3 linked regions of the Cricetulus griseus genome follow. The protein of the gene in region 3 purifies or fractionates together with the protein of the main gene of each other region. This does not show direct contact. Links are inferred from orthologs where the notes say so. Each region holds a gene or a part of one and is shown on either strand. Other genes may lie near its edges. The genes, in order: Bptf, Chrac1 and Smarca5.

What was found.
Region 1: the proteins of Smarca5 (region 3) and Bptf purify together in Homo sapiens (affinity purification with mass spectrometry; 4 studies listed by BioGRID and IntAct, with this or other methods). This does not show direct contact. The link is inferred for Cricetulus griseus from reciprocal best matches to the Homo sapiens genes SMARCA5 and BPTF.
Region 2: the proteins of Smarca5 (region 3) and Chrac1 fractionate together in Homo sapiens (co-fractionation; 5 studies listed by BioGRID and IntAct, with this or other methods). This does not show direct contact. The link is inferred for Cricetulus griseus from reciprocal best matches to the Homo sapiens genes SMARCA5 and CHRAC1.

What each region holds. Positions count from the first base shown.
Region 1 is NC_048600.1:120,064,178-120,067,927, reverse strand, and holds the start of Bptf (nucleosome-remodeling factor subunit BPTF), read left to right. Parts: upstream 1-1,485; 5' UTR 1,486-1,500; coding exon 1,501-1,579; intron 1,580-3,750. UniProt on the Homo sapiens protein: Regulatory subunit of the ATP-dependent NURF-1 and NURF-5 ISWI chromatin remodeling complexes, which form ordered nucleosome arrays on chromatin and facilitate access to DNA during DNA-templated processes such as DNA replication, transcription, and repair.
Region 2 is NC_048595.1:370,762,139-370,765,888, forward strand, and holds the start of Chrac1 (chromatin accessibility complex protein 1), read left to right. Parts: upstream 1-1,080; 5' UTR 1,081-1,127; coding exon 1,128-1,274; intron 1,275-3,331; coding exon 3,332-3,458; intron 3,459-3,750. UniProt on the Homo sapiens protein: Forms a complex with DNA polymerase epsilon subunit POLE3 and binds naked DNA, which is then incorporated into chromatin, aided by the nucleosome remodeling activity of ISWI/SNF2H and ACF1.
Region 3 is NC_048596.1:156,507,851-156,511,500, reverse strand, and holds part of Smarca5 (SWI/SNF-related matrix-associated actin-dependent regulator of chromatin subfamily A member 5), read left to right. Parts: intron 1-566; coding exon 567-641; intron 642-1,991; coding exon 1,992-2,158; intron 2,159-3,117; coding exon 3,118-3,218; intron 3,219-3,650. UniProt on the Homo sapiens protein: ATPase that possesses intrinsic ATP-dependent nucleosome-remodeling activity.

The sequences.
Region 1 (3,750 bases), on a different chromosome or scaffold from region 3:
TTTTCTTGTGGTGCTGCAGTTTGCATCTGGGGCCTTTTGCCAGGCACATGAGCCACCACTGAGCATCATTTCCAGCTAGCTGGTTTCTTTCAGCACGTTGACGGATGTCGATGCTTCATAATTGACTGAACTATTGATAAATAGTGAAACTAAAAAAAAAATACAAATCATAAATTCTGTTGAATGAAGTGTTTTGTGCTCAGTTGGGTGTGGGATTATCCACCTGTGGGACAGATTCAAGAGGCAAAGAGTTTCATGATTTTTGCCATGTTGCCGCCTTTGAAAAAAATTGAACCTAGCCGCAGTGGTGGCACACACCTTTAATCCCAGTGCTCAGGAGGCGGAGGCAGGTGGGTCTCTGAGTTCCAGGATTGCCTGGGCTACATCAAGAGACACCCTGTCTCAATCCCTATGAGCGCCTTTAGTGTTAAGGCTGGGAGGTTTGATACGTGTATAAGCGTAATTTGTGCTTCTAGCTAGACCTCAGGGAGTCTTGAGGCTTTCTTGGTTTACTTCTAAAGCCAACAGAGTATTTGTTACTTAGGCAATTAAACTACAAATCTACTGCCTCAGTTACCCTGTATTCCAAAGACTCTGAGGGACAAAATAAGGGAATTTGTTTACGGTTTTGGCCATGGAAGAGGATAAAGAATCTAATATGCTTCCCACAGTGCCCTATTCAGAATCTATGGAAAGCTGGGAGACAAAAGCGGGCGTAATGTAAATTGAACTGTGGTTTGGGATGATCTGTTTTTTCCTGGGTGGGGGAGGGGACTGGGTCCCACACCGTCTCTGAAGGGTTTATTTAAATCTCTTCTGGGTAAAATAGGGTTTTACAAGTCTCCATTTTGAAAGAGAAAAGAACATTTTGTGAGAAGGAAGATCCCGCCCCCATGCTCTTGCTGGTAGAGTTCTTTGTCCCTAGGTCCACTCCTTTAGTAGGTGGAGAGTTGAGGCTCTTGTTATCTTGTGGCGGATTCCTGCTTCCTAGGAATTTTGCAAGTGAAAAAAGTTAATTGTCTGAGTCAGTCTTTCTAGAATCCTTTCTCTTGCACTGCCCTTCCGATTGATGAGTGCTATAGACTAGACTTGAGCTTCAGGGACTTGAAGGGAACATTTTTAATTTCCTATCTAGATATATCTACCTGTAGTGTAAATCATATGGGAGAGTTCCCACCACGTGAGTCTTGGGGCGCACACTGTGCTTCTCAGACTTGGCAGCCTGTCCCCAGCTTCACAGTTAGGGACTCCATAGCTTCTTCCGTTCTTAGTTTTTGAGTTTTTTTTTATGTGTATGAATGTTTATGTATGTGCACCATGCATGTGCCTGGTGCACACAGAGTCCCGAAGAGGGTGTAGGAGCCCCTGGAACTGGGGATACAGATGGTTGTGAGTCACCATGTGGTTGCTAGGAATTGAAACCAGGTCCTCTGGAAGAGCAGCCATTGTTGTTAACTGCTGAGCCATCTCTCCAGTCCCTGAGGGGACTTTCTAACAGACATGTTCAGTATGCAGCTGAGGAGCAGAGGAACTTGCTCCAGACGTCAGTCTTTTGATGTGCTAACATCCGAGGACACAGGTAAGTCCTTGGGCACATGCTGAAGATACAATAGACTAACTCGCCCTGATCTTACTACTTGGTGGTTCTGAACTGTGGCATCATTGACACTTGGATTTCTGTCCTCCGACTTGTCATCTTCGCCTGCTGTGTTGGGATGGAGGAACTGCCTTCTTACTGTGTGCGTCCTGCAGCCTTGTCTGGCCAACAGTGACCAGATTTTCTTTCACAGAAAGTAATGGCTCTGTTCTTATCTGAAAAAATCTGTTCTCCAGATACTTGGACGTTGGGGTTACAATGCATACATTGAGGGTCTTTTCTGTTTGTATTCTTTGGTGCTTCCTTTTCTCTAGTACCATGTACCACTTTGGTTTGCAGGTAGAAACCCAGGGAAGGTGCTGGGGAGCAGTTACAAGCAACTCACTGTCATGGTGAATAAAACTTAGTTGTACAAGAATCAATTTAATCGATCTTATTAATGTTACTTTTGAAAATTAGAAACTTACCACTCCACAGACACCAGAAATTAAGTGTAATAGAAACAGTTTAGAAATAACTTGTTCCTTTGTTTGTTTGTTTGTTTGTTTGTTTGTTTTTGAGACAGGATTTCTCTGTGTAATAGTCCTGGCTGTCCTGGAACTCACTTTGTAGACCAGGCTGATCTTGAATTTACTGAGATCCACCTGCCTCTGCCTCCCAAGTGCTGGGATTAAAAGTGTGGGCCACCACTGCCCTGCTAGTTACTATTCCATGGTCTGTCTGTGCATGTGTGTAGATTCATGGATGAGGGATGGATGGGTGGATGGGTGGGTGGATGGGTGGGTGGGTGGATGCAATGTGTGGTTTGTGTGCACTTAATTGGTTGGTTAAAAATTACAGCCCTTTGTTGTTTTCCCAGCCAAGACCCCTTTTCCTCTTCAGTTCTGGAACTTTCTGTTCTTTTGCCTCCTTTCCCCGCCTGTCCTGAGCCTGCACTTCACTAGCTCCTTGCAAACAGTACTTCTGTCCAAAGGGGGCACACTGGGAATTTTTTGTTGGTTGTGAGGTGTCTAGCTGATTCAATATGAGATCTGCTGCCCCACCTACCTAGTGCTGGTCACTTTATATGAAGGTAGTTAATTTTTTATTTTGTCAAATTTTTACCAACACATTAAAAAAGACCAGTTACCTATAGTTAATTCTGGTCACTTTATATGAAGGAGGCTATTTTTTTTTCATTTATATTTTGTCAAATTGTTACCAAAGCATTTATAAAAAAAAAAACAGTTGCCTATAGTTAGGTAATTGACTATACTCTTTTTTTTCTTTTACTTCTGGTTTAGAATTGAATAGGAAGCCAGGAGTGGTGGTGCACACCTTTAGTACCAGTTCCAGTACAGCCAGAGGTACACAGAGAAACCTTGTCTTGAAAAAAAAAAAAAAAAAAAAAAAACAAAAAAAGTAGGGCTGCAGAGATGGCTTAGCAGTTAAGAACACTGACTGTTCTTCCAGAGGACCTGGGATCAATTCCTAGCAGCCACATGATCACTCACAACTGTCTGTAAACTCCAGTTCCAGGTGATCTGACATCTTCATAAAGCATACAATTAGGCAATACACCAATTTACATGAAAATTAAATTATTAAAGAAAAGAATTTTAAAAAAGCAAAAAAGTAGATGGATAGGAAGATAAGAGAATCGAGTGGAAAGCTTTGGATTTAGATTTTTTTGTAGCCTTAACAACCAGAACTAAATCATTGTATTAGGTATAATGACTTACACTTACAATAATTCCAGTCATAAATGGACTATAGCTCCAGGCTAGCCTGGGCTACAGAATAGTGGGACTGTCATAAAAATTAAAGAATTAAGTCATTGAGCTTTATTACTATTATTATGGTCATTGTTGTTATTGAAATTGTCTCACTATTTAGACCAGGCTGTACTGGAACTCATAGAGCTTCACCTTCCTCTGCCTCCTGAGTACTGGGATTAAAGGCAGCATGTACCCTCACACCGGGCTGGTGTTGTGTTTCCTATTTTAATAATTCTGGGCATGAGCTGGATGGTGGTGGCACCTGCCTTTAATCCCAGTGCTTGGGAGGCAGAGGTTTATGAATCTCTGAGTTCTAGGACAGTCAGCACTGTTACACAAAGAAAAAACAAAACCAAAAAAAATTTCTGGGGCTGAGCCCAAGGCTGAGACATGTTA
Region 2 (3,750 bases), on a different chromosome or scaffold from region 3:
CTAACATGATCCAAGCTACAAAACCCTGCCGGTTAGCTGGGCATTGATGGTGCACACCTTTAGTCCCAGTACTCAGGAGGCAGAGGCGGGAGGATCTCTGTGAGTTCGAAGTCTACAGAGCCAGTTCCAGGACAACCTCCAAAGCAACACCGAGAAACCCTGTCTCGAAAAACCAAAACCAAACCAAACCAAACAAACAAAAACAAAAATCCCTGGCAATTTAGTTCCTCCAATTAAATTTGGTGCCAATTTACAAGTTTTGTCCTATTCAGGCCACATCAACTTTCCCAACTTTACAACTCATCTTGGCGGAAGTCCATGGTCTCATGGTTCCACCTTTGGACCCCGACTTCCTGCTATTGCTCTACGGACCACCACTTGCTTGTATGTTTCTGAACAGTCTTCATTCTACCTAATCTGCTTCCTACTCCTTCAGATATGATTCATCTCCTTCAACGAGATCTTGTGTGCTTTGTTTTGTTTTGTTTTTCGAGTCAGGGTTTCTCTGTGTCTTCCTGGCTGTCCTGGAACTGGCTCTGTAGACCAGGCTGACCTTGAACTCACCAGAGATCCGCCTGCCTTTGCTTCTCCAGTGCTAGGATTACAGGCGTGTGCCACCAACGCCCGGCTAGGTCTTGTGTGCTTTGATTGGCCTTGAACCCTTGCTGATCCTCTAGGCTTTGTGGTGGGATTACAGGAGACTCAAGGGCCATCTCACCCGCCTCTTTAACAGGCTAATCCCCATGGGCCCTAGGGCAAGGGCAGAGGCTGCTTCTCCTCCCTACTTCCCTGGCCAAACGTTGCTTCTTTCTCTCTTTTCCGGTCACACCGTTCATCTGATTACCCGAGTGTGGCACATGCTTGCTTGCTGGCCACCTCTAGAACGAGGCGTCATAACACATTTCTCTTTCTTTAGCTTTTGACAGGACGGGTCGGTGCAGCTCGGGGATTCCCGAACGCACTAGGAAGCCTGCAAGCAAGAGCTTCTTCCGGTCGCCAGCCGCGGCGTTGGCGTTTCCGAGGGGATCTTCCTGGGTGCCGTCACCCAAGCTTTCGGGCCACCGCGCGACACGGCGTCTGCGCAGGCGCGAACGCGCGGGGCATCACGGGCCGCCGGGACACAGAAGATGGCGGATGCGGCCGTGGGTAAGGACAAGTGCGGGGAACAGCGGCTCGTGTCGCTGCCCCTGTCCCGCATCCGAGTCATCATGAAGAGCTCTCCTGAGGTGTCCAGCATCAACCAGGAGGCGCTGGTGCTCACGGCCAAGGCCACGGTGAGCGGCCGGCGGGGCGACGTGAGGGCGGGTGCGGGCACTAACCGCCCCTCGGGCTCCGCACACGCCCAGCCTTTCGGCTGCCCTGCGGGGGCCGCGCGCCCCAGCCTCTTCTCCTGCGCCTGCGCGCTCCGTATCCCCCCTCCCCGTGGTCTCAGCCCCGCCCACCCGCGCCGCTTGTCCTCTGGGCTGCTTCCGCCCTGCGAGCTCACTCCTCTCCCAGCGTTCCTTGCGCCCTGCCCACCGCGTCATTCCCTGGGAGTTGATGCGGGTCTCCACTGCGCGTGCGGCCCTCGGTTTCTGTCGCTGGCCTCCCGCGGAGTGATGCGCGCGGGAGGGGGTGGTGTCTCGAAGCTTCCAGGGTATATCCTGTCTGGGTATCTAGGGATCTCCAGCCTTCAGGCCTCTGCAGATCGTCAGGTCTATGCAGGCAACAATTGGTCACAAGTTGGATTCCAGGGACAAGTTTATAACCAACCACACAGCCCCCCTCCCAAAACAACACAGATCGCTTTGTGTTTTTATTCATTTTGTGTTTTGAGACGGGTCTCTATATGTTTCCCCATGCTGGCACTCTGTAGACCGGGATTACCTCAAACTCGAAAGAGATCCACTTGCCCCTGGTGCCACCAAGCCCTGCTCACTTGGTTTTGGCCTCACCATTCTGAGTGCTGGGTTTAAAAATTCTTAACCACCGTTCCTGGTTTAAAGTTTGGTCTTGATAGTGGTGGTCCGGAACCTTCCTGTTAGGAGAAGCGGCCTTGGAAACTGCCTCTAAGGTTGTTTTCAGCTTCTTCGTCTATTTCAATGTTAGTACTTTTACAATATTACGCACTAGGGCCAAGGGAGGTGCGAATGTTGTGACTTTGCAACAGAGCCAACATTAAGTAGTAGAGTCTGACAAAATACAGTAGTTCCCAGTGTCCTCCTTTTTGATAGTGATATACTATTTACAAGCAGTCTGCACACATTCCTATTTCTTTCGTGTGTGTGTGTGTGTGTGTGTGTGTGTGTGTGTGTGTGTGTGTGTGTGTGTTTTGAGACAGGGTTTCTCTGTGGCTGTGGAAGCTGTCCTGGAACTTAACTCTTGTAGACCAGACTGGTCTCAAACTGCCTCCTGAGTGCTGGGGTTAAAGATCATGGGGAAATAATTGTTTATGTGTGGTCCTGGGACTCAGGTTTTCTGTTCAGATTCATTCTAGCATTAAGGATCTAAGAACTATACACACACGTCTCTCATTACTTATTAGCTGAACTAATACTGGACCTTGGGAAAGGTTCAATTTACCATATTTCTGACCCCTCGGATCTTGCCAGAGGTGGTTGGTATTTACTGTAGTACTGTAGTTATGAGTGAACAACCTTGGGACAAGAGACTCATGTACACTGAAAATGTGTTTCGGAGAAACAGACACATGGCAGCTCACATCTGTAATCCAGGCACTTGGGAGACTGAGGCAGGAGCATCTCCAGGAATTCAAGGGTAGCCTGGATTACAGAGTAATACCTTGTCTCAGTAAACTGTAAAGTCCTTGGCAGTCCAGATAGAATTTTTGAATAGTTTTTTGTTCCATTTTTAGGTGTTTATTTATTTATTTAGATACTGTAGATGATTGTTCCATTTATTGTAAAGGCTGGTGACACTCCACCCTACTTCATCACTGTTTCCAGATAGCATCTCATGTAGCTCAGACTTGCCTCAAACTTGCTATGTAGCCACAGTTGCCCTTGGTTTCCTGTGCCTCTTGCTTCCTCCACCTGTGGAGTGCTGGTATGATAAGTGTGCAGCACAGCTCTTCCCTGAAACCAAAGTCATTATAATCGTTGTAAATATTTTCCATGTTACACACCTAAGCTCAGCTGGAAAATGCCTGCTGCCTCCTGCTCTACACAGGCATGCTTCTTCCTCATATAAACTGATGTCTTATAATTTGAGGAACCAATCAGAAGTATTAATGGACTTTTAAGCTTACAAAATCTGTGATGAGTTTTCCAACCTGACCTTTCATCTGTTTTTTTTTTTTTTGTTTGTTTGTTTTGTTTTACTGTTGGTTTAGGAACTCTTTGTTCAGTATCTAGCCACCTGTTCCTACAGACACGGCAGTGGCAAAACCAAGAAAGCACTGACATACAGTGACTTAGCCAGCACTGCAGAGGACTCAGAGACCCTTCAGTTTCTCTCAGGTACTTAATCTTTGGGACATTCTGGTTAAAAAACAAAACAAAACAAAAAACTTGTAGCGGCTCTTTGTTCCTTTATTTTTCTGTGTGATGCCTCAGTTTACCCGGACCTGGCACAGGGAAGTGTTCTAGCCTTCTCTATTTGAGCCCATGAAGAATTGTAGAAGTTGACAATATACACAGGATGCATGGCTGGCTAGCAGACTCACTCAGAGCTGTATACTTGTCCTGTTCCCCCTGCACCCCAACAGAGTAGCTGGTACATGTACATTCTGGTTAAAAAATGGATCAGGCC
Region 3 (3,650 bases):
TCAAGGTGGTTGTGAGCCACCATGTGATTGCCGGGAATTGAACTCAGGACCTCTGGAAGAACAGTCAGTGCTCTTAACCGCTGAGCCATCTTTCCAGCCCGACGAATGCATTTTTAAGAATAGTATATTTATTACGAACTAGGAGTCAGACTGAGAATATTCAATTTAAGCTCCTTTTTTGGACAGTGTTCTAGATAGTGTAAATTAGTGACTAATGCTGCCTTCCATGTGTACATTTGTGTAATAGCACACTACATAGATGAAATTTTATGATAAAAATGGAACTTTGTTCACATTAATGTTATGTAATTTGCATTTATAATTTTTTAATAGGTACTTATTTTCCCATATGACTTGTATAGAAAGTAATTGTTCTTTAGGGTATTATTTGATAATATTTTAATCATGCCAGTAGTTTATAATTGGCAAAAGTGATTATCCCCATTTTATCCTTCTCAGGTTTCATGTCAGGTTATGTGATAGCCTTTAGATACCTAGGGATTTTGGAGTAAGAACATTTTATTTAGTTGACAATTCTTAAATCATTCAATTTCTCTTCCTACCAGGAAGTATTTGATGATGCATCACCTGGGAAGCAAAAAGAAATCCAAGAACCAGATCCAACTTATGAAGAAAAAATGGTATGTTCTATAAATGTAAATAGCATTTATAATTAAACTTTTTTAAAAAAAAGATTTGTAAGTATTTATTAGTTTACATATCAGGTGTCTCTAATTGTGCTGTAAAACTTAAAAAAATATTCTTTGTTACTCTTTTTTAGATGAACATAACTTTAAGGCACTTTTACCCACTATGGTTTAGAATCTGATACTAATACTGTACTAAAAAATACAATTGTAGTCCTGTGTCTAAAGTTCATTTCATTGTTGCTGGTCTCACATGTATGTATCATTCCCTGAAAATCTTTACCCTGAGAGACTATTCTCTCTCTCTTTTTTTTTTTTTAACAAATTTTTAAAGATTTATTTATTATGTAAACAGTGTTCTGCTTGTATGAATTCCTGCAGGCCAGTAGAGGGCACCAGATCTCATTGCAGATGGTTGTGAGCCACCATATGGTTGCTGGGAATTGAACTCCGGACCTCTGGAAGAACAGTCAGTGCTCTTAACCACTGAGCCATCTCTCCAGCCCATGAGACTGTTCTCTTTTTAAGAAAAAATAATTATCACAATTGGTTTTATTAAATTAAAGGTGTGTGCTACCAAATCTAACTTGTTTCTCTTTGTGTAAGTAAATTATCATGTCTTTAAAGTATCAGTTACTGAAGGACTTGAGACTTTGTTATTTTCTCTTTTTTTTTCTGAGACCGGGTGTCTCTGTGTAGCTTTGGAGCCTGTCCTGGCACTCGCTCTGGAGACCAGGCTGGCCAATGCCGGCTAAGATTTTATAAGAAACAAGTTTCTTAATAAATTCATTCTCTTGATGTGATAACAGGATATATTCAAAGGGATAGCTAATAAATATGAAAGAAATATTATTACATGACATTCGGTTGAAGAGTATTTATTGATAAGTGAATTACAGACCTGGTACCAATTTAAAATTTGGCATCAGGTTGAGTAACCAGTGTTTTCTTCTTCTGAATGCATTCCCTTGTACAATGTTTTGTTTTTTATGTTGAATTTGAAAGTCTTGTTCCTGCCATCTTATTAAAGGATAATAAACGTAAAATTTTGGAAATATATAAATTCATTTAAGTATTTTTGTAAGCAGGATGTAGAGTATTTTCTATCGATCATTTCTGCCCTCAACCCATTATCTCGTTTCATCTTTATGTCACTAACTAGTACTTCATATATTCATATATCCAACTTGATAAAATGCTTCCAAGAGCCAGAGTCACCTGTGTTGCTTTTCTGGCTTTTCTGGCTTATTTCAGTTATTTGTTCATTTTTATTCTTGAGTTTGTCATGCAGGCATGGGGAAATTGATTTCTAAACCTTAATAAAATGTGTCTTAAATTTTGCAGCAAACTGACCGAGCAAATAGATTTGAGTATTTATTAAAGCAGACAGAGCTGTTTGCACATTTCATTCAGCCTGCTGCTCAGAAGACTCCAACCTCACCTTTAAAGATGAAACCAGGGCGCCCACGGGTAAAAAAAGATGAAAAACAGAATTTGCTATCAGTTGGCGAGTGAGTAGTTTATATTTCATAGTTTAAACTAAACTTGTTTTCTAAATTCTTTTGGGAGGGTGTAGAGACAGGGTTTCTCTGTGTAGCTCTGGCTTTCCTGGAACTCACTCTGTAGACCAGGCTGGCCTCAAACTCAGATCTGCCTGCCTCTGCCTCCCAAGTGCTGGGCCTAAAGACATGCGCTACCATCACCGGGTTTAAATTCTATTTTTTTAAGGTTTTTAATTTATCTTCTGTAGTTTCACAGATATGGCCAGCAGTGTCTTAAGTATCTCAAAAATAAATACAATGACTTTTATACCGTATGTGCTCTATGAATTGTAACAGCGGTGTTGTTCATGGAATTAAGATGTTAACCTGTTTCTTAGAGAGGTAAAAATTGCAGAGGCTAAGTGTGTTAGTTACTGTTAAATAGAAATACATAGTCCCAACTTGAACTTGAATCAGATTTATGTTTTTGTTTTCCAAAAAATAGGTACATTGAGGATATATAATTTTTTTGTGTTGCTACTGGAGATTGAACCAAGGGGGGGCCTCATGCTTGCTGGATGAGCATTTTATCACTGACTTTTAAAATCTACCCATCTTTTTTCACTTTTTGAAATTTTGAGACAGGCTTTTACTGAGTTGTCAGAGTTGGCCTCAAATAGAACTTATGGACTTAAGGTCCTTCTCTGTCAGCACTCTAAGTAGTTAGAATTGCAAGTCTGTAATACCAGCCATGGTAATAAGGGTGGTTTTCGGCTTACTCTGCTTTTCAACTTTTTATTTTATTTATTTTCTTAATGTTTGGGGTACGCTGGCTCTAACCAGGACTTGTACTTAGATTAGATAAGTGCTCCACCATTGAGCTACATCTGTGGCGGTGGCTTAACTGTTAAGATTGTTGTGATGTCATCATTTGTCTACTGGGTTGACATAAGAGTCATTATTAGTTGATTTTTCTTTTATTTTGACAGCTACCGACACCGTAGAACAGAGCAAGAGGAGGATGAAGAGCTATTAACAGAAAGCTCCAAAGCAACTAATGTCTGTACTCGGTTTGAAGATTCTCCCTCATGTATGTTAAATTCATTGAATCATTTGGTTTTCAAAGGCTCTTCCTTTGAGACATCTTTCTTTGACATTTGAATTTGCTTTTTCTATAATTTACAAAGGGAATTCTTAGGAATCTGGATAGTTAGAGGCTGTGAATAAGTTAGGTGTTTTTGATCTGAGATGTTAATATCTTGACTGGCGTTATAGCTGTAGAGTACAAAGCCTTGGCTTTGATCCCTAGAGCTAGAACTGAGAGATGATAGTATGTGCTGTACTTCAGAAGTATATGAAAATGCCATTTAATTTATTATGGTTCTAAGGTACATGTAAAATGGAGTGATTTTGCCTCTTATTTTTCCCAAACAAGAAAACTACTTTGTAAAAGAGTGGGGGAAAAAAAAATCAAGAAAACATTAATTTGCTGGTGTTTTCACGTGAATTTATCATTTTTGTG